Callithrix jacchus: one gene and its partners. The protein of the gene in region 2 interacts with the protein of the main gene of each other region in a biochemical or structural test. Links are inferred from orthologs where the notes say so. Each region holds a gene or a part of one and is shown on either strand. Other genes may lie near its edges. The genes, in order: PMAIP1, BCL2L1, HRK, VDAC1, SIVA1, BMF and BIK.

Region 1 (2,166 bases), on a different chromosome or scaffold from region 2:
CATGGTGAAATCCCTGTTCTCTACTAAAAATACAAAAATTAGCCCAGCCTGGTGGCACACGCATAGAACCCCAGCTACCAGAAAGGCTGAAGTACAAGATTCACTTGACCCTGGGGGGCAGAGGTTGCAGTGAGCCAAGATCGTGCCACTGCACTCCAGCCTGGGCAACAGAGCAAGGCTCTGTCTCAAAAGAAAAAAAAAAAAGACCTATGCCTCGTATTCATTTCCTATTTTTCAGTATTTCCCCTCCCAATTAAAGTGTTTAAGTCCCTTGACAGCAGAAATCATGCAAATTCCCCTACATTTTCTACTCGAACCAGTGGGAGGAGACAGTGCCGTCAGAAGGTCAGTGGATGTCTGCTGATGGAAATCAGTTAAAATACTTTGGCTTGATAATGAACACTTAGCAGCTTACAAGATGAAGAAGAAATGAACACACGGAAAAGAACAATGAAAGCTTTTAACAGTTTACTGCCACAGTATCAACTTTTATATGTGTACACACGTTTAAATACAAGTTAGACCATAAATACCCAGATGGTAAGATATCTGCTTCTAGGCTGAAAAAAAAATCTCTGCAACAAATAGACCATCTTAAGTAATACTGAAGAAAAGAGATGTGAGGTAATCTTCCATCTAAAGTGACTATAACCTATATTAAGACATTTTAACTAAAAATTCAAGTAGCCTTTGGAACTCAAAAATGTAACCTTAATATACATTTTCAAACTAAAAAATATTTTAATCATAAATAGGCAAAATAAATAAAATTATTTTTGCTGAAATAAAATCATATTATTTTTTATGTATTTGAGGACTGTATATAGACCAGATAAAAAATGAAACTTATTTGAGACTCTTCTAAGAATCTATATAATACTCGAATGCAAATTATCCATACAGATATCCATATAACTATGTAAGTATATGTAGACATATATATTCGCCAATGCATATGTGGAACTTTCATTCTAGATGAGAACAATCTGTTCCTCTTTTTAAAAAAAGCATATTCCAATTATGAAAACATTCTTACTTTGTATTAAAAGATCACTTTTTGTAGGATGCACATTAATGAGACAAGGAGCATTTTCCAAATTTTAGAAACTTCTTTAGAAACCTTCATTTCGCATCAAGTTACTGTGAATATTTGTTTTACTAAGTTTTAATTACATCAATTAAAAATCAACTTCATTTTTCTTTTTATTATCCCTAGTTATACAAAATCCCCGTGTTGTTTTATTATATTGAATGTTCAGTCTACCAATATACTGGCCCCAAGTAACCTCCTATACTTCTATCCAATTTTTTTGAAATTATTTTCCAGTTTTCCATAGTTTCCAACAGGAACACATTGAATGATCATCTCAACAGAAGCAATACAATTTGAGTCAAAGGAAACAAATTCTTTTACATTGTGTAGTGACCTAAGAAATCGACATTCACTATGACATTTCAGTGTTCTCAGAATGAATTTTTTTCCTTATAACAAGGTAATATGTATAAACCAAATCATATACATTGTGCTGAGTTGGCACTGAAAAGCAAAATACCAAAAACAGCAATAACAACAAAGCACTCAACTGTTTCTTCCCAGCCACCAAGTCTAACCATGGGCCATCCCCCTTTCCACTAGGCCAGCAGTAATCTTCAACAAAAACACTAGAACAATTATCTAAGTAAAAAGGAAATGTATCAATCTTTACTTCCCTATTTCCAAGGGTCTCTCGTTCTTGCTTTAAAATAAACAAGTGGTTTTATAACACTCTCATATCCCAACAAATGATAATCTGGGAAATTGCCAACAGAAATTCATTTTTGATGCATTCCATCTTCCGTTTCCAAGGGCACTCGTGAAAGCTTCTTCACATTCCTCTCAATTACAATTCAGTCTTCAAATTGCAATCTTCAAAATGCAATCTCCAAACTGATAAAATGAGCACCTCCTGAGAAAACTTCTCTTTTGAAGAAGTCCCCTCATGCCAGTTTCTTTTATGCAGTCAGGTTCCTGAGCAGAAGAGTTTGGATATCAGATTCAGAAGTTTCTGCCGGAAATTCAGTTTGTCTCCAAATCTCCTGAGTTGAGTGGCACACTCGACTTCAAGGTCTGAGAAGGAAAGCAAAACACGGACATCAACATTGATGATATTACCAACTGTAACCAGT
Region 2 (3,500 bases):
GCTGACTGTGTCTCCCACTAGAAGGTCAGCTCCTGAGGGCAGAGACTGTGTCTGTCCTGTTCACATGCAGCCCTAGTGCCCAGCACACAGCATGTGCTCAGTAAAACCCTGTCAACCTACAGGTGGAAAAATTCGGGCCCAGAAGGAAGCAAAGACTGGTCTAAGGCCCTCCCCTGAGGGCGGCAGAGCCAGGACCAGTACCCAGCTCTCCAGGGGCCCCACCTTTCCCCATCCCAGAGCACACAAGAGCCCAGGCTCTTTGTTCACTGAGTAAACACAGTTTATTACTGAACTGCACTTTCACCTTCACACAGACTATTTCAAAGAGCTGGAACAAGTGTGGGGTGGGGGTTGGGGGAGGGACCCTCAGGAGCCAGGACCCTCGGCCGGCTTCCCTGGACCAGGGCAGGGGAGGGAGCATCAGGCCGTCCAATCTCCGGGCACCAGCTCTCCACGTGCACGCGCACTGCAAGCCAGCAGCTCCTCACACATAAATACAGACACGCTTAACAAAAATAGTATATCATCTTCACAAGGAATAAAAACTAGTTTCGAATATGTACAGCAGAGAGCCCGGGGTGGCTGGGACCCCTGGGGATGAGACAGGCCAAGGGTGGAGCAGAAGAGAGAGGGAGGCCTGAAGAGCTCCTGGCCAGGCCACTCTGACCTTGGCAGCCCGGCTGCCCAGGTTGGACAGGTGTGGGGCACAGATCTGCCTGGCCAGGCAGGACTGGCCCTTCTAGTCAGCCCTACCCCACCCCATGCAGCAGGCTCTCCTTCCTGCCCTTCCTGCCTGAGGTAGGGAAGACCCTGGGGCTCCCATAGCTTTTCCTGATAGCTCCCCTTCACCTCAGGGCTGAGTCCCCTGAAGCCCCATGAGGAGCAGCCCAAGGTAAAGATGCCACAGGCTGCTCTTATACGAAGTGAGGCAGCTGAGGCCATAAACAGCTCTGGGGCACCTGTCTTGGGCCCAGTTGGTCCCTCAGTCATGGTCATGGGAGCCAGGGAGGGGAAGGGACTAGGGTGGTGCTGAACTGCAAGAGCCACCCCAGCTTTGGCATAGGGTGCTTCCTGCAGCTATAGCCCCTCCCTCCTGGATGGGGCTGGCCTCTAGCCAGAGGCTTCTGGAGGACATTTGGACTTCGAGTGAGGACTCTGCCAGTCCAGAGGTGGGAAGGGAGTCCTGGTCCTTGCTTCTTTATCCTAAGCAGCGGGAATCCCTAATTAGTCAAAAGTGGCCCCTAAATGGCTCTTGGGGGATAGGGATGGAAGGAAAGAGAATCCAGGTTAGTGTGGGGAGAGGGGGGAAAATGATCAATTCTGAGGCCACAAACATCAAAACAAAGGCAATCTACTCTCCTTTCTGGGGAAGAGGTTCTGAAAACTTTCAAGCTCCCTGGTAGAAAAACATTTTCAGGAGGCTAAGGGGTAAAGGTTGCACCAATCAGGTAGGGCCCTCCTGCCCCCAGCCACAAACCCTTCCATACCTGCCAGCCTCCTTGGGACAGATTTTTGTGGATTCTGAGGCCAAGGGAACTGAGGTGTGGGGGTCTCACAGAAGTGTGGTAAATTCTAGAAAACTAACTGCAGGGGACCAGATCAAGGCCCAACCCTGTGGAGGGCAGGTGGGCACGGGCTGCATGTAGTGGTTCTCCTGGTGGCAATGGCGGCTGGACGGAGGGATGTGGTAGGGCAGGGCAGGGGTGGGAGGGTAGAGTGGATGGTCAGTGTCTGGTCATTTCCGACTAAAGAGTGAGCCCAGCAGAACCACGCCGGCCACAGTCATGCCCGTCAGGAACCAGCGGTTGAAGCGCTCCTGGCCCTTTCGGCTCTCGGCTGCCGCATTGTTTCCATAGAGTTCCACAAAAGTGTCCTGCAGGGAGAGAGAAGGAAGGCGCAGTTTGAGTCATCAGACAGTAACATAGGTGGGTGCGGAAAGGGGGCCATCTGCATGCTATGGCCTCGGTGATGTGAAAAACTGTAGCCACTCTGGGCCAAGGGTGATCCTCTTTCTTGCCCCTCAGTGGGTCATAATTAACCCATGCTCCCGCTGAGAAAGCAGGCAGAGAGGAGGAAAGTATGCTGTCCGAGGTCAGTCAGGAAGCAGCACTTATTCTAGAATCCAAGGTGGGAGTGAAACAGGCAGGGTCAGGGAACTGACTGAAGCTGGGTGGCTGGACCAGAGTGCAGGAGAGGAGGGCATGGGGAAGATAATGGTGCAGGGCTGAGCCAGAGCCAAACCATGTGTGGCCTGGAAGCTGTGAGGAGCCTGGAGTTGAGTCTGAGGGTAGTGTGGAGTGTAAAGCCACTAGGCCTCAGACTTTCTACTGTTGCACCAGAGGGAGGGACAAGAAAGCATAGGGCTAAATCCCCAGGGTCATTTGGGGCCAATTCAGGGGTAGATTGGGTCAAGTTGGTGACGGGAAGAGCAGTTCAGTGGAGAGAGGGTAACAACGATGGAGTACTGAGAGGCCTCCATGATGGGGTCTGTGAGGCCCTGTCCCTGTCCTCCACTCCAGGGACTGTGACTCTGGGCCCAGGAGGTCGTTCTTGATCAACAGCCCTCTGCCCTGAAGCTAAGTCAGAAGGGAAGCACATGACAGGGGGAAGGAGGAGCTGTGGGTTAAATTACCCAGCCCAGGGTGCAGCAGCCTGTGGGGCAGGGAGAGAGATGCTTAGAGCATACTTCGTTTTGTTTTGTTTTTTTTGAGACCGAGTTTTGCTCTCGTTGCCCAGGCTGGAGTACAATGGCGCAACCTTGGCTCACTGCAACCTCTGCCTCCCGGGTTTAAGTGATTCTCCTGCCTCAGCTTTCTGAGTAGCTGGGATTACAGGCATGCATCACCACACCTCACTACTTTTGTATTTTTAGTAGAGATGGGGTTTCTCCACATTGGTCAGCCTGGTCTTGAACTCTCAACCTCAGGTGATCCGCCCGGCTCAGCCTCCCAAGTGCTGGAATTACAAGCGTGAGCCACCCCTCCCAACCTAGAGCGTACTTTAATGAGTAAGTGTTGTGCCCAATTTGTCCTGTAATCCTCCCAACAGTGCTGCGATGCAGGCTGTCTCTCTCCATTTACAGACCAAGAAGCTGTGCCTCTGAGGGCGCAGGGACTAGATCAAAGTCACCCAGCTATGTCAGTGGTGGAGCCAGAATCCAAACCTGTGTCTGGCACCTAGAAATAAGTAAGAAAAAAGTAAGTTCAGGCTGGGCGAGGTGGCTGACACCTGTTAATCTCAGCACTTTGGGAGGCTGAGGCAGATCATGAGGTCAGGAGATTGAGACCATCATAGCCAATATGGTGAAACCCTGTCTCTACTAAAAATACAAAAATTAACTGGGCGTTGTGGCAGGCGCCTGTAATCCCAGCTACTTGAGAGGCTGAGGCAGGAGAATCACTTGAACTTGGGAGGCGGAGGTTGCAGTGAGCTGACATCACGCCACTGCACTCTCAGCCTGGCGACAGAGTGAGACTCTGTCTAAAAAAAAAAAAAATATA
Region 3 (3,570 bases), on a different chromosome or scaffold from region 2:
GAGTCCTGACTTTGTTGTCATTTCACCGCGCTGCAGGCCAAAGCAGACATTTCTCCTCCTGATCAATTCAGACCAAAACTAAGTTCACAGGATTGGAGAATCATGGTTATACTCTGCGGTGGGAAGGAAAGAATGGAAGCTCCCTCAGCAGCTTCCAGACTCCCACCTTCGAGCCACCTCTGGACTCATCCCGATCGTCTGAATCCCAAAGTTGCCTGAATTCCAGTGGATTTAATATCGCAGGTTTCATTCTCCCCTGAAGAATCCTGAGAGCCGCCCCACCCATCTGAACCTTCACTGGCTGTGACAACTCCAGACTCTCCAGTCTGGAGGTGCACAGGAGCGGCTGTCGGGTTGGAAAAGGGGGAATTAAAGTCCCCCGCACCCCTCCTCTCGCTGACCCCTTAGGGTCTCTACTGCGCATAAATCGGGATCGTCGCAGAAAACTGTAACCCCATCAAGAAAATAACGTTCACAAAGAAAGCAGACAAGAAGTTTCCCTTTAGAAAGGCCCTTGTGAGGGCCCTTTGGGTGCAGGTACTGGGCGGTGAGAAAGCCTCTGTCCGCGCCCCACGTGAGCTCAGGACCGACCCCTCCAACCTCCCACTGCGCCTACGTCAGGGTTTCTAGCCGGGCGCTGGGGGCGCGTTAGGATCAGGCTGAAAGCCTACAGGTGCCCAGTCAGACCTGAAACGAGGCAAGTTAGGTGTAATCTGGCCCTTCCACAAGATTTTGAATCCACCCACTTCCCCCAAACAAAACAGCCTCGGAATATTTTTGAATCAGGCAGCCGAATTCAGTATCAGCTTCTTCCAAAACGGCAAACAAGGCTGCTTCCTTCGCCAAATCGGAACTCGAGCTGAATTCAGGAAAAGGGGAAGGAGAACAACCTTCCCTCGCTTCCGCGGGGGTCCCCCAAGACCCTCAAAGCCCGGGACCTCCGTCGCGGGGCGCCTTCTCGCGTAGCCGCGCGCCGCCCTACCCCGTCTCCCAAACCGCGCGCCCCTCGCTGCCGGCGCCGCTAGGGTTAAAAGTTACCTCTCGGTTTCTTCTGCCTGCAGCCCCCCCCACCCCCGGGGGCCGGATGATGTAACCCCCCTCCCCGCCCCCCTCCACCATGTGACACTTTAATTAATAATAGCGCTGTCAGCACAACAAACGCACAACACAAGGAGAAACTTGGTGTCCAGGGGAGGCCCCCGGCGGCTGGAGCGCGGCGGCGGCGGGCGCAGAGGCCGGAGGGAGAGGAGGCGAGGGGCGGCCCGAGCGCGGGGCGGGAGCGAGGCCAGCGGTCATGTGCCCGTGCCCCCTGCACCGCGGCCGCGGCCCCCCGGCCGTTTGCGCCTGCAGCGCGGGTCGCCTGGGGCTGCGCTCGTCCGCCGCGCAGCTCACCGCCGCCCGGCTCAAGGCGCTCGGCGACGAGCTGCACCAGCGCACCATGTGGCGGCGCCGCGCGCGGAGCCGGAGGGCGCCGGCGCCCGGCGCGCTCCCCACCTACTGGCCCTGGCTGTGCGCGGCCGCGCAGGTGGCGGCGCTGGCGGCCTGGCTGCTCGGCAGGCGGAACTTGTAGGAACGCGGGGCTTCTTGGTGGGGCCGGAGCCGAGACCCAGCCGGAGCGAGCAACAGGTACGCGAGCGAGCGAGCGAGCGAGCGAGAGCCAGGGCGCGGCAGCTGGGCACTGGAGGCGCTGGGCTGGCCCGGGAGCGGGAGAGTGGCAAGTTTGGCTTTCTTCTCTTCCCTTTCCCTTCTTCCTCTGTTCTCTTCTCTTGCAAGCACCCCCGGCCAGCTCTTCTGCCCAGCCCCCGTCTTTCCTTCCAAGTGTCAGGTCCACCGTTTCTGCCCCCATCTCTCCGAGTCCTTAAGCGCATCTTGCTACTTTCTCCCTTAGAGCTGGTTGGCTTGCGGAGGACTTCAGCCTCCATAATCCCCACCAGCCCCACAAATAAACACACAATGCAAGTAAAAAGTGTGCTTGCGATGAGAATGTAGCTGAAAGCTACGCCAAATACTTATAATCTGTCGCAGTTTTAAGAAAGGTCCCCTGTCCCCTTCAAGCCTCTTGCCGTTCCTGAGTCGCCACCGTCTCCCTCACCTTTGCTCCCACCTCTTCTCCCTAAGTGTCACTTCCCCAATCTCTGATCCCCATTCTCTGCCACCCCAATCGCATCTCGAGACTTCGTCCTCCTTGTTTCCGGCTGGCCCAATCTTCGACCCCAAGCCCCGCGCATTTGCAAATTTCCTCTGCCCTGCCAACTTCGCTCCTTCGCCAGTGAGTTGTCCTGTTTAAGGAATTTGGCCTCCTTCTCCTCAGACGGTTGTAGCTGCGTTGGGAAGGAGACGCCCTCGCAGTGGGTTGGAATAGGAGGCTTTTGGGGAAACTCCAATGGGAAGCCTTAAGGAAGGAACATTTACTGAGCTCCTTCTGGGTGCTGGGCACTGTTTAGGGAAGTGATGTTTTGAGAGCTTAGGACTGGACGTGGGCCTTGAGCGCCTAGTGTGGTTGGTATCAGTGGGAGGAAGGTTATAGGCTCTTGGGGGGAAATTATTGTGCCATAGCTGTGCGTCTGGCACTGTGCTAGGCGCTTTGAGGAAGCACACAGTGTAAGCATCGCCTTACTACTCTGGATCCTGGAGTAGCGAGGAGCGTTGCAGAAAATGAAGGTGGAGAGAATCAAGCTGAGTCCACCATAGATGGGTCTAGGGCCGGAAGGTGAAGATCGAAGGTGATATAGCCAGCCGCCCTTGGGTCCCCACCGCCGAGCCCCGCCTCGCACCGCAGACACCCTGGGAAGCTGGAGCGGCGCCTGAAGGCGAGGCCCTAGCGCCTGCGCCCGCCGGGAAAGGCGGCAGCCGGAGCGTGGGGGGTGGCAGCGCCCAGGGAGCTGCGGGGGTGCACGGGGTGTGAGCCGGGACCGCAGGCGACAGATGTCGCGTGGGCCCGCCCAGCCTGGGCGCTGACGAAGAGAAGTGAGCGCTTCGGGGCGCACTCCGCAGGGCTCCCGGGCGCCGGGGGTCCCTTCCACTACTCTCCGCCTTCTTCCTCCTCCAGTTGGAGAGGCCGGGGGCTCCCGCGACTGAATGGGGCCAGGCTGAGGCTGCCCAATCCCAGGAACGGGAAGAACACTTTGGATGGATCTCGTGGAGCAGAAAAAGGAAGTTGAGCGACAGACGCGAAGCCCAAAGCGTGGAATTTGGGAAGAGGCAGAAAAAAAAGTGGGTGAAGAGGGAGAGAAAAACCAGGCGATGAGGTGGGGAGGGACAAGAAGTTTGGAGAGGGTGGAGAAAAAGAGAAAGTGCCTGGAGAACAAGTTGTAAGACAATTGAAAAGTGAATTAGAAGGCAAGAGAAGAAGGGAGTAAAATCAAATAGAAATGGGGAGAGGGCTGGGACACGGCTTTCTTTGGTTCTGTCGTCCAGGAGATTGGAAAAGCGGTCCCCTCCCGGGACGTGGCGTGCGGGATGTCAGGTGCCCCTCCCGGGAGGCGGAGGACTCTGGGCCGGAGGTTGTCTGAGTGTTCCCGTTTGCCAGTGTGTGAGTGTCAGAGGTGTGAACCCGCCCGGATCCCCAAA
Region 4 (3,500 bases), on a different chromosome or scaffold from region 2:
GATACCTGCAGGGAGAAAAATCAGGGAGAGGAAAGGAGGAGGAATGGAGAAAAGAAAGGTTAACACCAAATTCAGAACCTGTTCCAGGTATTATCAGCAGGGTCCAAACTACATGGCCCTTCAATCCTTGTTACTTAACACTATCTGACTAACGAGTATCCTACAGTGAGCTTATAAAACAACTATAATTATCCTGCTGCCCAGAGAGCCTACCCAAATCTACTTCTGAAACCCCACTTTCCTTTTTCCTCCCACTGTTCCCCTGGTATAATTAGTCTCTAGCACTGGCAGCATGCAGTAAGCTTCTTTAGCAATCATCTCTTTAAATGAAACCTCAATCCTGAATCCAACCTAAGGGATGACATTTTCAGGTTCATAGTGTACACACACGTACAACAAACTGACCTTCCCTGAAATAACCTGATTCAGGGAGTAGCTGGTAATCTTAGGTTTCCACGGTTCAAAGGTGATATTACACCCTAGAACTATAATACACCATGGACTGGCCTAGCTTACTGTGCAGAGGAAACCTGCAAACCACTTTTCCTATTTGTCTTTTTACAATGGGGCTGATTTATAAGTTAGTTTTGAGAATTTGCTAGAAATAAGTATCAGGCATTATATACACACTGGAAAAAAGGATGGAAGAAAATAGCAGAGAATATATGTTAGCCTCAGCCTTTTTCTCCTACTTGCTACATCTCATATTCTCTAAATGTTTTATAATCATCCATACTCCTTTATAAACATTTAATTATACAACTTTATATACCCATTTATTATATACCCACTGTATTATACAAACATTTTACTATGACATAAATCAGCAAACCAGCACCACAATTTTTTTTAAAACAAAGAACCAATTTCACACACAAGCAACACATACCTGGCTTTAGAGTCTGAGTATATCCTAAACCTATCAGGCTGGAGTTATTCACTTTAGCCTAGTCAAGGAAATGACAAAACAGAGAAAACATTACGTTTAACACTTTGCAATTCCATCTCCAAAATCAGTAAGAGCTTTTTAGTCAACCAACCTTGGACTTCAGAATCAAATTTTTTTATGACCATCTTGTTCATGAGATTCATTAAATTCAACACAAAAGATACCAATTTTAGGTGCATATTTTCCTGTTCAAATGGTGTTCTGAGATCTGAAACCCCTCATAAGAACAAAGCAGAGAGGAGGAAGGCCTCTTGGGGGCCAGTGCCCCTTTTCTCTTGTTTTTAAGTGCCTGCTCTTAAGAGAGCCAAATTTGGTTCTAGTTCAGGAGACTTAAAGTGGGCTGTCCATCAATTACACAAACCAGTACAGAAACCATTCTACAACATGAGATTTCCTCATTCCACCCTAAAGAGGTACAGCCTCCAGTGCCCTGTGACAACAGAAATGAGCCCAACAGGATTTACTGCAAAACCTGTGAAGTAGTTTGAGGGCCTGTGAGCAATGCAAGAGAGTCTGCAAGATGCCAACTGACTACTGATTTATTAATAGGCAATGCAGGAGTTGAACAGAAAAATGAAATGTGAGGTGGGAAATTATCATTTAGCACCCTAAATTTCAAAGTGCTTAACAGTCTGCATTATAGAAAAGGAATTGGTATTAATGGAAGAGACTCAACAGTAAGCCAGTCTAGCTCAAATCCAGTCCCAAGCAACTTCCTGCTGTGTACCCTTGGACAAGTTACTCAACCTCTCTAACCTTCTAGTTCCTCATTTGTAAAAACACAGATGACTGGCTGCGTGCAATGGCTCACGCCTGTAATCCCAGCACTTTGAGAGGCCAAAGCAGGCAGATCACCTGAGGTCAGGAGTTCAAGACCAGCCTGACCAACATGCTGAAACTCCATCTCTACTAAAAATACAAAAATTAGCTGAGTGTGGTGGCGGGTGCCTGTGGTCCCAGCTACATGGGAGGCTGAGGCATGAGAATCACTTAAACCAGGGAGGTGGAAGTTGCAGTGAGCCGAGATCATGCCACTGCACTCCAGCCTGGATAACAGAGGGAGACTCCATCTCAAAAAAAAGAAAAAATAAATAAATAACAGAGATGATTGGCCAGGCATGGTTCATTCCTGTAATCCCAAAACTTTGGGAGGCTGCGGTGGGAGGACAGCTTGAGCCAGGAGTTTGAGACTAGCCCAGGCAACACAGAGAGATGTTATCTCTGCTAAAAAAATTTTATTTATTTATTTTTTTTTGAGATGGAATTTTGCTGTTGTTACCCAGACTGGAGTGCAATGGCACGATCTCGGCTCACTGCAATCTCTGCTTCGTGGGTTCAAGCAATTCTCCTGCCTCAGCCTCCCGAGTAGCTGGGACTACAGGCGCACACCACCATGCCCAGCTAATTTTTTCGTATTTTTAGTAGTGACGGTGTTTCACCTTGTTGACCAGGATGGTCTTGATCTCTTGACCTCATGATCCACCTGCCTCAGCCTCCCACAGTGCTGGGATTACAGGCGTGAGCCACCGTGCCCAGCCTAAAAAATTATTTTTAATTAGCCAGGCATGGTGGTGTGCCTGTAGTCCCAGCCACTTGGGAGGCTGAGGTGGCAGGATTACTTGAGCACAGGAGGTTGAGGCTGCAGTGAGTTATAATCACACCACTACATCAACCTGGGCAACAAAGCAAGACCTTGTCTCAAAAACAAAAAGTTTAAAAACCCAGAGATAATTTAAAACAAAAAAACAAAGCACCTATTTCAAATGGGATTAAACACAGTAGTCTTCATAAAAGGCTCTGCAGAGTGCCTGATACCCGTAAGAAGTACTAATACTTTGATCACTGTACTCATTTGGAACTCTTTTCAAAGTGACAATGTCTCCCATTTTGTTTTTGTTTTCTGAGATGGAGTCTTTTTTTTCTTTTTTTGAAATGGAGTCTCACTCTGTCACCCAGGCTGGAGTGCAGTGGCACGATCTCAGCTCACTGCAACCTCCAGCTCCCTGGTTCAAGCAACTCTCCTGCCTGCCTCCCGAGTAGCTGGTATTACAGGCACACACCACCACACTCAGCTAAATTTTGTATTTTTAATAAAGACAAGGTTTCACCATGTTGGCCAGGGCTCCTGACCTCAAGTGATTTGCCCGCCTTGGCCTCCCAAAATGCTGGGATTACAGGCATGAGCCACCGCGCCCAGCCGCATCTCTCACTTCAAGTAAGCTGAAGCACAGCATTCCAGCAAACCTGAAGGATTCCAACCTAAGTAGCAGATGGGCCTATGAGATGCGTGATTCCACAGATACCTACCGAGAAGCAGGCGTCAGGGTCAATCTGATACTTGGCTGCTATTCCGAAGCGCGTGTTACTGTTTCCGGCTGTCCAGGCAAGATTGACAGCGGTCTCCAACTTCTTGTTCACCTTCTGGTAAATGGAGCCGCCAAACTCTGTCCCGTCATTCCTGCAATGAGCAGAGCACAGATGCTGAGCTTCCCAGGGAGGAGAGCTGCAGCCCAGACAGATCTACCCAAGTCTCCCAATAAACAGGATGCCA
Region 5 (3,980 bases), on a different chromosome or scaffold from region 2:
CAGTGTGGCCCACTGCCTCGCTGGTTAACAAAGAGGTGCCTGGGCTCCTCCCAGACACACCAAGCAGACTTGTGGGCAGGGTCGGGGACTGCCTTTCTAACAGGCAACACAGGTGATGGTGTGAGACCCACACTGCACAGGGATGGGACCGCTGTGCTTCCAGCCATTTGGGACTGTCTGAGAGGGCTGCAGGCAAAAGCAGACGCGACACCCGGGGAGCCTGCTGCTTTTCTGGTCCACTAGTTAGAAGCTGTTTAACAACTTCCCGTCTTGGATGGGAAACCTCCCGAGCCAGAAGGCCAAGCTCTGGGTGAGACTCCTGCTTGCCCAGGGAGGAAAAGCCCGAGCTTGCAAATAAAGAAAAAATGCTTGTGCTGCCACCTGCCACTCACCAGCTTCAGAGGCCTGCCCAAGGCTCCTGATCAGGCGACCATCTGGTCCAATCAGCATCTGCCCACGTGCAGCCCTCGGGACCTCTGTAGGGCCAGGCTTTGGGGACTCTGGTAGGTGAACGACGGCGCAGCCTTCATCCCATACACGGTCCAGGTAGGCCTGGGCCCCGAGGAAGAGCAGTCGCTTGGTCTTCTCTGGGGGAAGACAAATCATTCTCATGTTCTTCACTGTATACCAACGGAGCCTCTGCATGGCCGCTGAGTCTTTTCAGCCTCTCATGGACCCCTTGGTCCTACTGTGTGCCCTCTGTCACCCAGTAATGCATGCTGTGTCCTGGTAAGCTGGGTCTTGCTCTGCCTCTACACTGAGACGCTCGTGCCTCCCTTCCTTACCTGGCTTAGCTGTCATCTACTCCAGAAGACTCTGCCCTGCGGCCCCACCTGTGTCTGAGGCAGGGGTTCCCTCTTCTACTGCTCTGCTCATTTTCTGCAATCCACAGCCGGCCTTGCCTCACTGAGCGTGTTCCCCTTTCTCCCTTTCCTATTTCCCAGCACTCCCCACCCAGAAAGCAGTCTCTGTGGAATGCACAGAGGAAGCTCTGCACTGTGGAACACTAATTCACAAATCTCGCCCCTGCCTAGGAAGCAGCCAGAGGCTCGGAGCTGGGCCTGCAGCCTCCAGCCAGCGCACACCCCCTTCACCTGCTACAGACTTGCTGGCAAGACAAGCGTCCCAGAACCTTGCAGACCTCTTGGTGTAGAACACACACCATCCCTGGGAGCTGAAGGGCCTGCTCAGGACCCAGAGCAGTGGTTTTCCATCAGGCTCGGTCACCTCAGGAGCTTTGGAAACTAGACCCAGAGACGCTTTGTGTTTTCCACCTCATCGTAACACAGTTAAAGGTAGAGATCCCAGAAACTCCGCGTGGTTCTACATGAAATCGGCAGCCGTAACAGGGACAGGGTAACTCAAACGGAGTGGCTGATGACAGCCCACAGCACCCAGCACCTCCTCCTCCTGGCCCCCCACACCTTTCCTATCCATAATGAGAAGGGAATGGGATTGACACACAGTTCAAAGTACGTGTCCTGCACTTACCATGGAAGGCTCACTGCACCCACCCGTGAGTGGGTCGGGTTAGGGAGGGCTAACATCTGCCAGTGTCAGGGCACTCGGGAGAGTAAAGAGCTAGCCTGACCCAGGCCCCATTTCCATCTTCCTCTTGCCTGCACAGTCTGAATTTTTCAGCTCTCCGGAGAGAGGGCACGCGCTTGCGGTCCAGCCACGTTCCCACCGCGTCGCTCCCCGTACCCCGGCAGGACCGGAGACAGCACCCGCATTCACAGCCGCAGCACACCGGAGCCTCAGGAGGGGAAGCCTTTCCCTCACCCGCAAGGCACAAGCAGCACCACGGAAATCACACACCTCGGTCACTCTCTAACTGCTCTACAGGGCAGACCTTGCGCCCCAACCACTAGGCGAGGTGAGCGCCACTTCCTACCTGCCCCGGCGTATTCATCGCCCTAGTGATTAGTGATCACTGACGATTACGATCATTTTTCCTGATGATCGAGAACGCCTTGAACACGCCTGAAATGTACAGGACAAAGCCAGGGAAGGCCTCGCATCCGCCCGGCGCTGGACATGCAGCCACACGGAGTCCTGCCTCGCTCCGCCTGGGCTGACCCCTCTGCCCGGCTAAGCCCCACTCTTCCCACGGGACGCGGCCCAGACTGCTCTTCCAAGGGGCCCCTGCGCCATCCCTGCAGGTGCGCCTGCACCAACCTGCGCCCGTCCTGATCACCTGTGGTGACTCCTCCTGCTGCTGGTCTCCCCCACTAGGCTGCGGAGCTCCCGGGGCGCCGGGCAGGAGGTGGGGGGCGCTCCATGATTACCTCTTGGGTCAGGAGGGGCACTCCGGGTCGACTCCCTGCAGGACGCCCCCCTCCCGACCCCTCCCAGGGCATCCAGCACGGGACAGTCCCGAGGAAGCGCCAGGCAGGTGCCGCTGACTGCGGGGCGGCGGCTAAGGACAGAGACCCTTTACTTTCAGGCTGATGGACGCGGGGGGCGAACGCTGAGGTCCTCACTTCCCCCTCACCGACCCCAGCCCTGGTCGTGGGCAGGTTGTGTCCCCGGGACCCCAGCTCAGGCCTCGGATGGGAGGCTGAGGCCAGGCCCGACGCAGCGGACGCTCAGCAGTCCGCCCGGCACTCACCGAAGACCTCCTGCGAGTAGCGCTCAGCGCACACGCCGCGGCTCAGCTCCCTCTGGCCCACGCGCACCTTGAGCTGTAGCGGGGCCGCGTCCGCGAAGGGGCAGTCCCGCTTGGGCATCGCCGCGGGCCGGGAGCTACGCTGCTCCGCGGCCGCCAGCCCCTTACCGCCGGCGCCGTGACGTCACAGCCGCGCGCCCATCCGCGGGCGTGAGCGAGTTGGAGGGCGAGGGAGCGACGCGGTGCGCGATAGGCTGCGGGCGAGGTAGGAGGCGGGGCTCCTGTGCAGAGCGGCGCGGGATAGGCCGAGGGTGAGATCGGGGGTGGGACTCGTGCGTCGGTGATCAGAACTGCGCGGCGCGGGAAAGGCCCAGGGGCCAGTTTGAGGCTCAGAGTGGGCGGGTCGGTAGGAGGGATTTGTGCGCACGCGGCTCAGGATAGGCGGGAGGAGAGACTAGGGGCGGGGTTCCTGTGCGGCGCGAAGCGGGGTAGCCTGGGAGACAGGTCGCGGCGGGATTCTACAGTGCGGGAAGAGCCAGCAGGAGAGGCTGAGGGTCAGGACAGAGCCGCGAAGTCGGGGAGAATAAGGGGCGGAGCTTCTGCATCGGGGGCAGGCCTCGTTTGAGGATCGGCGTGGGATAGGCCAGGGCGACATCGGAGGCGGGTCTAGTTTGAGGAACGGCGCGGGATAGGCCGGAGCGACGTCGGGGGCGGGCCGGGTAGGTGGCGGGATTCCTGTCAGCTTTTGTTTGGTTGAACGGGTGGACACTGGTCGTGGTCCTCATTTGCTTCCCCGAAGTTCGGGGCGGCCCGCTTCTTCCTAGTTTTTTCCTTTTAGAGACACGGCCTCGCTCTGTCGCCCAGACTGGACTGCAGTGGCAAAGTCTCGGCTCACGATCCTCCCGCCTCGGCCTCCCGGTAGCTGGGCCCGCAGGCGCGCCCGGCTGACTTTTGGTTTTGGGTGGGAGCGGGGTCTCACTGCGTTGCCCCGGCTGGTCTAGCCGCTCGCCGTGGCGGTCCCCGCCTTCCGGAAGTAAAGGCGTGAGGGGGCGGCCCCGAGGGCTCCCGGGTGCTGCTTGTGTGGAAGATGTTCCTGCGCAGCGGGTCCGTCTGGCTCAGGTCCCCAGGCCGCGCGGTGCAGCCGCGTTGTCCCTTGTCCGGGCTCCGCTCAGCAGGGGCCGCTCTGCTCTGCGCTGCCCCGGCGGGTGCGGAACCGCCGCGTCCCGTGGCGTGGGCTTCGCGCTGGGCTGTGTTCTGGCGGCTCCGTCTGCGCCGCCTCCGGTGTGAGGAGCTGATGCCTGGAGCCCTGCACGCCCGCCCCGCGTGACACCGCCCCTCGTGATGCCACCCCCGTGACGCCCTCCCCGCGTGA
Region 6 (3,500 bases), on a different chromosome or scaffold from region 2:
ATTGCTTGAACTGGAAGGCAGAGGTTGCAATGAACCAAGATCATGGCACTTCACTCCAGCCTTGGCGAAAGAGTGAAACTCTGCCTCAAAAAAAAAAAATGCAGGGCCAGACCTTGGGATAAGGGCCTCCTCCTCCTTCTGTTCAGGACCAAGTTAGGAGGGCTCCCAGGAAGACTATATCCTAGTCCTGTGCCAGGGAGGGCTCCCAGCCTATTCCCAAGCCTATAGGGGCTCACCAGTGGCTAGGGGAAGGTTCTGGGGAATAACTGGTGAGAGAGATCAGATAACTGCAAATGAAGCAAGCTGCCTTCCACATAGGCCTCTAGCTGAGTCTAGGAGAGCCACAGCCACTGTGTCCTCCAATCCTCTCCAGTACCGGGACTGGAAGCTGTGAGCTGCGCTCAGCCATAGGCCTGTATAACCAGGGTGGAGTGAATGGGCAGGAAGGAGGCCAAGAAACTGAAAACAAGAATCAGAGTGAGTCCACACATGGATTGAAGGGGAAACTCTAAGCCAAGTTTCCACCAAATAATCAAAGGAGGGAGTAAGAACTGGAGCTTAGTCTATTATCTAAACATAAGGCCACCCTCCCTTCCTGATCACTAAGAGACTAGGAGGACTTACCAGGACCGGGTCTAGCCCCAAACTGTCCTCAGAATTCCTTGGCAGAGGGCATTAACAATATCTAACCAGCAATGGCCTTTTCTTAGGAAATCCAAGGTCAATTCCTCTTCCCCTGCCACTGGCAATGGTTTGACCCTTAAGTCAACCTACTTATTATCAATAGCTCTCCTCTGGCCACCTGAAGTTACCCATCTAACCCTGGAGTCTGCCCAGTCATGATCAAGCTATTTATTCCCTTGATTTATTGACAGACACACATACACACATACAGAGCCAGCAGGGCCAGGGACACAGTCCCAGAAGTACAGAATGTGTTCGCTTCCAGGTGACACGGATGCAGCCTCAGGCTCCTCTCCCTGCCTTGGCAGCCATCCAGAAAGCCAGCCTGGAGAGGAAGGGTTAAGTGCCTGGGGGCCCAGCCCAGACAGCGGCTGCTGGAACAGGGCAGCCTCCAGTCCGTGGCACAGAGGGCTCTTCCAGCACGAGCCTGCCAGCCGCCGCCTTTGTTGATGGACTCTGCCACATGCTCGGCTGACACGCGATGCTCCACCCTGGCGGGGCTGGTGCCAGGCTGCCGGCCAAGCACCCGGCCAAGCGCCCGGCTGGCCGCCGGTCTGGGGAGCCTCTCGGAGGTACATTCTCTCGAGTCCCAGACCCTGGTTCCCAGACACAGACAGTGAGGAGCGGCCTCCCCAGCTGGAAAGTGTCAGGTTTCAACCGGTTCCACCACTTTCCCCCACTCAGGCCCCATCCCTTGGCCTGGTTACCCGTTTCCCACTGTACCTTAGCCAGGCACCCCCAACTGCCCAGTGTCACTGCAGCACCCTAAAAATCTTCCTTTTAGGTCTGTGAGGGGCAGTCCCCCGGCCACCACCATAAGAAGAGACAGGCTATCAAGCAGGGCTGCAGAAAACCACCCTATTCCAGGGGAGGGATTGTAGCCTCTCCCAAGATGGCCCTTATGGAACATGAGTTGAGAGTGGGCAGTTAACCAATGCAGAGCTCCGAGATGAGGGCAAGATGCTCATCCAGCTGGGCCTTTCCTGCCTATGGGAACCGCAATAACCAAAACTCTGGGACCACATTCTTGCGGTCTGGCAGAGACAGAGTTGCTGACAAGAGGAGAGAGGCAGGCCCTGGCCCCCAAGCCCCACAGACCCAACCCTCCTCCCTCAAACCCCCATGCCTACTTGCTGCACATGAAGCCGGTGGAACTGGTCTGCAATGCACTGAAGCTTTCGGGCAATCTGTACCTCTGCTCGATGTTGCCACTGCCCTTCGGGGGGCTGCTCCCCAAGGGGCAAGACTGCCGGGAAACTGGCAGGGAGAGGAAGCCGGTAGCCAGCATTGCCTGCAAAGATAGAGGAGCCACATCTCAGCATTCTCCACAACTGCTCCCGCCTCCCCACACCTGCCCGACCTGGCCAAGATTGAGGCTGAGAGTAAATCCTCCTATGAGAATGGATAGGAACCAGCATGCCTGTATCAGGGCACTCTGCCAAGCTTGGACAGGCTGCTGCCCAAGTGCATAAAGGTTGCAGAAAAGAACGGAGAACAGGGAGAGTGGCCCGAGCCTTCCCTCCAGTTCTCCATTCACTGACAGTGCAGTGACAAAGGGCAGGGTGGTAACGTGTGCAGGCGAACGTGCCAACCTTCCATCCTCACTTATCAAGCTATGCTTGACCACAGTTGATCATTCATGTAGTAACAGGTTGAAGTTCTTCTCTGGAAAAGCACTGGAGGTAGCTCTCCAGAGTTTCTGAGTTGAGCAAAGTAAGGGGCAGAAAAAAAAAGTGACTTCACGTTTTTAGTGCAGTAGAGGAAGGCTGGTCTCTCGAAGCTCCTGGGCAGCAGCATAAAAACAAGGGAGAGAAAACTGAGATGCACAGAGCTGCCAAGTTCCTCTCTGGAGACAGCCCCAGGCAAGACCTCTAGACCAGCGCTCCACACTTACCGAGTGCACGCGTTAGAGCCAGCGCTAGGGGCGCCAGTCCGCCGGCCTCCGCGCTCCTTTCCCTCTTCCCCGCCTGCCCGCCTTATCCAGCTTCTCATACTCCCGCCAAACTGCTTTGCCAGAGCTGCCCTGAGAGGCAGTTCCCTCTGGGAGTAAATACAGTGTCTCCTCAATCTGCTCGTCAGACACAGCAAGCCACCCTCCTAGCCTTTACCCTCCCTCCATAAGCTGCAGTGCCACTAGAAGAAAACAGACTGTCTGATCCTGCCGTTTTGCCAGAGGAGGGCCTATTTCTCATAAAACAAACTATTTAAGCCCACAAATGAAGAGGTCTTGTCTGATTTAGCCTTGAAAGCATCCCCTCTCTTGGCACTGGGCCCAAGCAGGCCAACCTCTTTCTCCAGTTCCCCTACCACATACAGAAAGTCCCAAGTGACAACTGGGGCCACCTTCTGCCTTCGGGAACCCACCCTCCCAGAACCGGTTGGGTTTTTCCCTTCATTGTCAACAGCCAGTCACAGATCCCCCAGCCTTCTCCAGGGCAACAGGAGCCACTTTACAGAAGGCAAATCACTGCTGGGACACTAAAGGCCGGGCCACTCAAGGGGCACAGGATGTAAATGGAGATACTATGGACTCAAGGATCCCTCCAGGAGGGGACTATGGAGCAGAAAGAAGGGCAGGGCAGTTTGCCCTTTGGGGTCCTGAGGCGCACAGGTGAGGAGCAATAACAAGCCGAGAGGAAGCAGGTGGAAGTCAAGGAATCCACAGCCCCACTGACCACTTTGGGGAAGGAAGCAGCAAAGGGCAGGTTTGGGGAGGGAAAGTCTCCTCTTTTCCCCCAATTTCTATGGAAGGAGTCTTGAGGCTGACAGCACTCACCGTAAAAGAGTCGCTGGGGTTCCTCAGTCACCCCACAAGG
Region 7 (4,005 bases), on a different chromosome or scaffold from region 2:
ACAGGCTTTAGTCAAATGTGTCAGAATCTGTCTTAATGTCCTTACGATGACAAAAAAAGGTCCAGGCATGACGGCTCACGCCTGTAATCCCAGAGTAGCTGGGACTACAGGCATGTGCCACACACAACACCCGGTTAATTTTTTGTATTTTTAGTAGAAACCGGGTTTCACCATGTTAGCCAGGCTGGTCTAGAACCCCTAACCTCAGGTGATCCACTTGCCTCCGCCTCCCAAAGTGATGGGATTACAGGCGTGAGCCACCTCGCCCAGCCAGCAGGAGTATTTAAACACCCAAACGGTGCCATTTACTGAGAACTTATTCTAATGGTATCCCCTAAGTAGAAATCGCGGTAACTCCAGGGAGGCCACTAACTTGAATGTGGCTTTCTTCACCCCCAGCCAGAAACCTCAGGGAGACGTTTCTGCAGAATGGACAGAACAAACTGACTTTGGAGAGACGGAGTAGCCCTTCAGAGGCCGCAGGGCTCTCGGACAGTGGAAAAAGGTTTTGGCTTGGCTTCCCATAAACGGCCCTTGGCTTCCAGCTGGACAACTCTGGCATTTCTGTGCCTCCTGGGACTGAAGTGTTTCTCCACCTGGAAAATGAGGCCTCCTGCTCCCAGGGGGAGATAGAATTTAAGACCTTCCCGAAGCCATTGCCCACCCTAATGTGGGAAGATGAGGCTGACACCAACCCTCCCTGGCCACAGTAAACACCGCATCAGCAACAAAAATGTTACAACATTAAGAGCAGCAGCAGCAACAACAACGTCCTGCCCCCTGAGTGGCTCGTTGTAGCAAAACTGAGAACAATTAACGGCTTGAAAGTGATGGCATTTAGGAGGTCAGAGCCCAGATGACAACCAGCTCCAAACCCCTAATCCTTGTCACGACGGCGCCCCGCAGGCGGAGGAACCCCTCTAGGGTCACCCGCAGGGGCGCACCCCCAGTTTACCGACAAGGTCCCACGCCCCAGCCGGGCTCTCGCCCCCGCCCCGCCCGGAGCGCACCTGTGCAGGGCGCATGGGGCAGGTGCGGGCGAGCGGCTGCGCGCCGCTCCGCCTGCACGTTCCTGTTCCGGACTTTCTGGGCGTCCCGTTACGAAGCCTTTCCTCGGCCTGTCCTCAGGTGCGCAGTGCCCCGGGGAGCCCAGTCCCGGCGGGAACAGGTGCCCGACGCCATCTTCCCTCTTTTAAGGACACCTGGGCTGTGCGACCGCGACCGTGGGCTGGCGGTGCCGCGCTGCGCTCTGGCCGGGTCCGCACGACTACAGAGGTCGGAGCCTGGTCCCCGAAAGCCGCGCTCGAGGACTGTGAGGGGGACGATGGGGCTCCCGGCCTTCGGGGCGAGACGCAGAAGGACCACCCATTGCACAGACGCGGGGACTGAGGGCCGCGCCTGGCACCATGCATGTCCGGGACGTGTCGGAGCCGGAGTCCCGGGACGTAGCCCCGCAAGGGACTCGTCCGCGACTTGCCGGAGCAGAAAGACCGGGCATGGGTCCTCAAATTTTCAGCCGCTCGGCACCCGGGGCCGCGGCCTAGGCGCTAATCGCGGGGCTGGAGTCGGGGAGGGGGAGCGGCAGCAGGGTCGGGGTACTCACCTGGCGGCGGCGGCGGCGGCGGCGGCGGCGGCGGCGATGATAGCAGAGTCTGCGACCCAGCAGAGAGGCGTCGTGTCTGCGGCCCGGGGACCCGCGCGGGACCTAATGGACCGGGACGCCCCGCCCCGCCCGGGTCCCGCCCCGCGCCGCCCCGCCCCGGGAGCTGCCTCTCGCACCCCGAGCGCGGAATGCTGGACTGGGGTCTGAATGGCATTAGCAACAGAACCGCTACAAGTGCGGCCGGTTGGCTTGTTTACGGCCTCTCTGCCCCCTGCTGTTCTGCAAACTTGCTTTGTCTCGTGCGTCGCTGTTTTCCCTGCGCCCGAGACGGGCGCGCACTCAGGGGTTTCCATGAATACCCGGGGTCGATCCCTTGCCAGAATCTGGGTGTATAATCTAAGCCCTTTACACGGATGGCTTCCCTTCGAGCTCAAAGTACTCCTAAGGGCTCGGTGCTGTTTTTCACGATTTTACCCGCATGGGAACCGAGGCTCCAAGAGGACGAAATGACTTGCTGAATGACCGCGTGAAGCCAACGCTTGAAAACGTGTGTTCCTTAGGCAGCTCTGGGACTTAGGTGTTTGGTTTTGTTTTGCTTTGGGACGGACTCTCAGCCACCCACTCTGGAGAGCAATGGCACGACCTCTGCCTCCCGGGTTCAAGCGATTCCCTTGTCTCAACCTCCGGAGTAGCTGGGACTATAGGCGCGCGCCACCACGCCTGGCTAATTTTTTGTGTTTTAGTAGAGATGGGGTTTCACCCCGTTAGCCAGGATAGTCTCAATCTCCTGACCTGGTGATCGGCCTGCCTCAGCCTCCCAAATGCTGGGATTACAAGCCACCGCGCCGGGCCAAGAGATTTAGGTATTTTTAAGCCTATTTCACGAATACGAAAACCGAAGTTCACACTTGGGTTAGCAGCAGTGCTCCAGACCCCAAGCCGGTGGGCTTCCCCTCCACTCCCCTCCCTCCGCAGTCTTCCAGCAGCACCCACACACCCACTGCCTTACCCCTCCGGTCTCGGGCTCCCGGACAGCAAGAGCGGGGCGGGACCGGGAGAGAATTGGGGGCAGGGGGCCCACCGGCAGACCTGCTGAGACGGACCCCAGAGACCCACCAAGGAGAGATAAATCAGAAAGGTTCCGGGAGGGGTGGGGGGCGGCAGCCTGCCCCGCGGGGACGGGTAGTGCCTAACTGCGCCCTGGGGCATATTGGGGGTGGGAGAAGAGGAGGCTCCTGGAATAACAAAGTAACGATTGTCCTGATCACAACAAAGCTTGTTTACGCGTGTCCTGATCCTCTTAGAGATCGGGGGAGGGGCAGGAGCCGGGGCTCCCCTCCCCGGACCATCTCCTCCCCCAGCTCTGTCGTTGCTACCTGTTGGGCACCCTCACTGCTCTTCCTACCTCTAGGGTCATTACTTCCCCCTCAGTGTTCTCATCTGTGAAATGGACAACAGCACCTACCAAGAGCTGGGCTGTTGGGAGGAACAGAGGAGGTAAAGCCTGATAAGGTCTTCAGGGTCCCTCCCTCCTGCTGGGCCTTGGACCTTCTCTGCTTTTGTAGTCTTTGCTTCTAGGGCGTCCAAACCACATCAACTCCCAGCGCTACAAAGCAGCTCACCCTGACTGTGGATAACAGCCACAGGGTGCCTTACAGTCAGGAGTGGGAAACCCTTAATTATGGGGCTTCCCTCTGAGTGCATTTTGCAGATGAAGAAATTGAGACTCAGGGAGGTAAAGCAATGACACAGCATCTCTTGGGTCCAAAAGACCTTGTATGTGTGAGATGTTTGCAGAGGGGTCTTGAGGCTGCAGGCACAGGGCCAGGCATGTGGATGTTCAGTAAACAGCAGAACAGATGGAGAATGAAGGACAGTTTGGGGACGCTTTGAATGATTCAAGGGCAAAGTGGGTGAAAATACAGTACTTATTTACTTTGCAAAATCACAAGATAATATGCTGATCAAGGCTGGGCGCGGTGGCTCACGCCCATAATCACAGCACTTTGGGAGGCCGAGGCGGGTGGATCACAAGGTCAAGTGATCGAGACCATCCTGGTCAACATCGTGAAACCCCGTCTCTACTAAAAATTAGCTGGGCACAGTGGCACGTGCCTGAAGTCCCAGCTACTTGAGAGGGTGAGGCAGGAGAATTGCCTGAACCCAGGAGGCGGAGGTTTCAGTGAACCGAGATGGCGCCATTGCACTCCAGTCTGGGTAACAAGAGCGAAACTCCATCTCAAAAAAAAAAAAAAAGATAATATGCTGATCAAAAAGAGGAAGAGATGGCCAGGCATGGTGGCTGTAACCCCAGCACTTTGGGAGGCCAAGGTGGATCACCTGAAGTCAGGTGTTTGAGACCAGCCTGGCCAACAAGGCAAAACCCCTGTCTCTGCTAAAAA

What was found.
Region 1: the proteins of BCL2L1 (region 2) and PMAIP1 interact in a biophysical measurement, tested with the Homo sapiens proteins (3 studies listed by BioGRID and IntAct, with this or other methods). The link is inferred for Callithrix jacchus from reciprocal best matches to the Homo sapiens genes BCL2L1 and PMAIP1.
Region 3: the proteins of BCL2L1 (region 2) and HRK interact in a biophysical measurement, tested with the Homo sapiens proteins (3 studies listed by BioGRID and IntAct, with this or other methods). The link is inferred for Callithrix jacchus from reciprocal best matches to the Homo sapiens genes BCL2L1 and HRK.
Region 4: the proteins of BCL2L1 (region 2) and VDAC1 form a complex in vitro, tested with the Homo sapiens proteins (4 studies listed by BioGRID). The link is inferred for Callithrix jacchus from reciprocal best matches to the Homo sapiens genes BCL2L1 and VDAC1.
Region 5: the proteins of BCL2L1 (region 2) and SIVA1 form a complex in vitro, tested with the Homo sapiens proteins (2 studies listed by BioGRID and IntAct). The link is inferred for Callithrix jacchus from reciprocal best matches to the Homo sapiens genes BCL2L1 and SIVA1.
Region 6: the proteins of BCL2L1 (region 2) and BMF interact in a test that uses a peptide from one of them, tested with the Homo sapiens proteins (2 studies listed by BioGRID). The link is inferred for Callithrix jacchus from reciprocal best matches to the Homo sapiens genes BCL2L1 and BMF.
Region 7: the proteins of BCL2L1 (region 2) and BIK interact in a test that uses a peptide from one of them, tested with the Homo sapiens proteins (3 studies listed by BioGRID and IntAct, with this or other methods). The link is inferred for Callithrix jacchus from reciprocal best matches to the Homo sapiens genes BCL2L1 and BIK.

The regions. Positions count from the first base shown.
Region 1 is NC_133514.1:102,890,613-102,892,778, reverse strand, and holds the end of PMAIP1 (phorbol-12-myristate-13-acetate-induced protein 1), read right to left. Parts: intron 2,108-2,166; coding exon 2,001-2,107; 3' UTR 452-2,000; downstream 1-451. UniProt on the Homo sapiens protein: Promotes activation of caspases and apoptosis. Promotes mitochondrial membrane changes and efflux of apoptogenic proteins from the mitochondria. Contributes to p53/TP53-dependent apoptosis after radiation exposure. Promotes proteasomal degradation of MCL1.
Region 2 is NC_133506.1:7,531,663-7,535,162, reverse strand, and holds the end of BCL2L1 (bcl-2-like protein 1), read right to left. Parts: intron 1,874-3,500; coding exon 1,736-1,873; 3' UTR 259-1,735; downstream 1-258. UniProt on the Homo sapiens protein: Potent inhibitor of cell death. Inhibits activation of caspases. Appears to regulate cell death by blocking the voltage-dependent anion channel (VDAC) by binding to it and preventing the release of the caspase activator, CYC1, from the mitochondrial membrane.
Region 3 is NC_133510.1:119,915,610-119,919,179, reverse strand, and holds the start of HRK (activator of apoptosis harakiri), read left to right. Parts: upstream 1-1,160; 5' UTR 1,161-1,294; coding exon 1,295-1,570; 3' UTR 1,571-1,626; intron 1,627-3,049; exon of another isoform or gene 3,050-3,182; intron 3,183-3,570. UniProt on the Homo sapiens protein: Promotes apoptosis.
Region 4 is NC_133503.1:74,347,624-74,351,123, reverse strand, and holds part of VDAC1 (non-selective voltage-gated ion channel VDAC1), read right to left. Parts: intron 3,408-3,500; coding exon 3,257-3,407; intron 948-3,256; coding exon 890-947; intron 6-889; coding exon 1-5. UniProt on the Homo sapiens protein: Non-selective voltage-gated ion channel that mediates the transport of anions and cations through the mitochondrion outer membrane and plasma membrane.
Region 5 is NC_133509.1:139,618,854-139,622,833, reverse strand, and holds the start of SIVA1 (apoptosis regulatory protein Siva), read right to left. Parts: upstream 2,801-3,980; 5' UTR 2,730-2,800; coding exon 2,612-2,729; intron 588-2,611; coding exon 393-587; intron 1-392. UniProt on the Homo sapiens protein: Induces CD27-mediated apoptosis. Inhibits BCL2L1 isoform Bcl-x(L) anti-apoptotic activity. Inhibits activation of NF-kappa-B and promotes T-cell receptor-mediated apoptosis.
Region 6 is NC_133509.1:46,496,597-46,500,096, reverse strand, and holds part of BMF (bcl-2-modifying factor), read right to left. Parts: coding exon 3,461-3,500; intron 1,976-3,460; coding exon 1,815-1,975; intron 1-1,814. UniProt on the Homo sapiens protein: May play a role in apoptosis. Isoform 1 seems to be the main initiator.
Region 7 is NC_133502.1:188,655,043-188,659,047, forward strand, and holds the start of BIK (bcl-2-interacting killer), read right to left. Parts: upstream 2,801-4,005; 5' UTR 2,613-2,800; intron 1,682-2,612; exon of another isoform or gene 1,604-1,681; intron 1-1,603.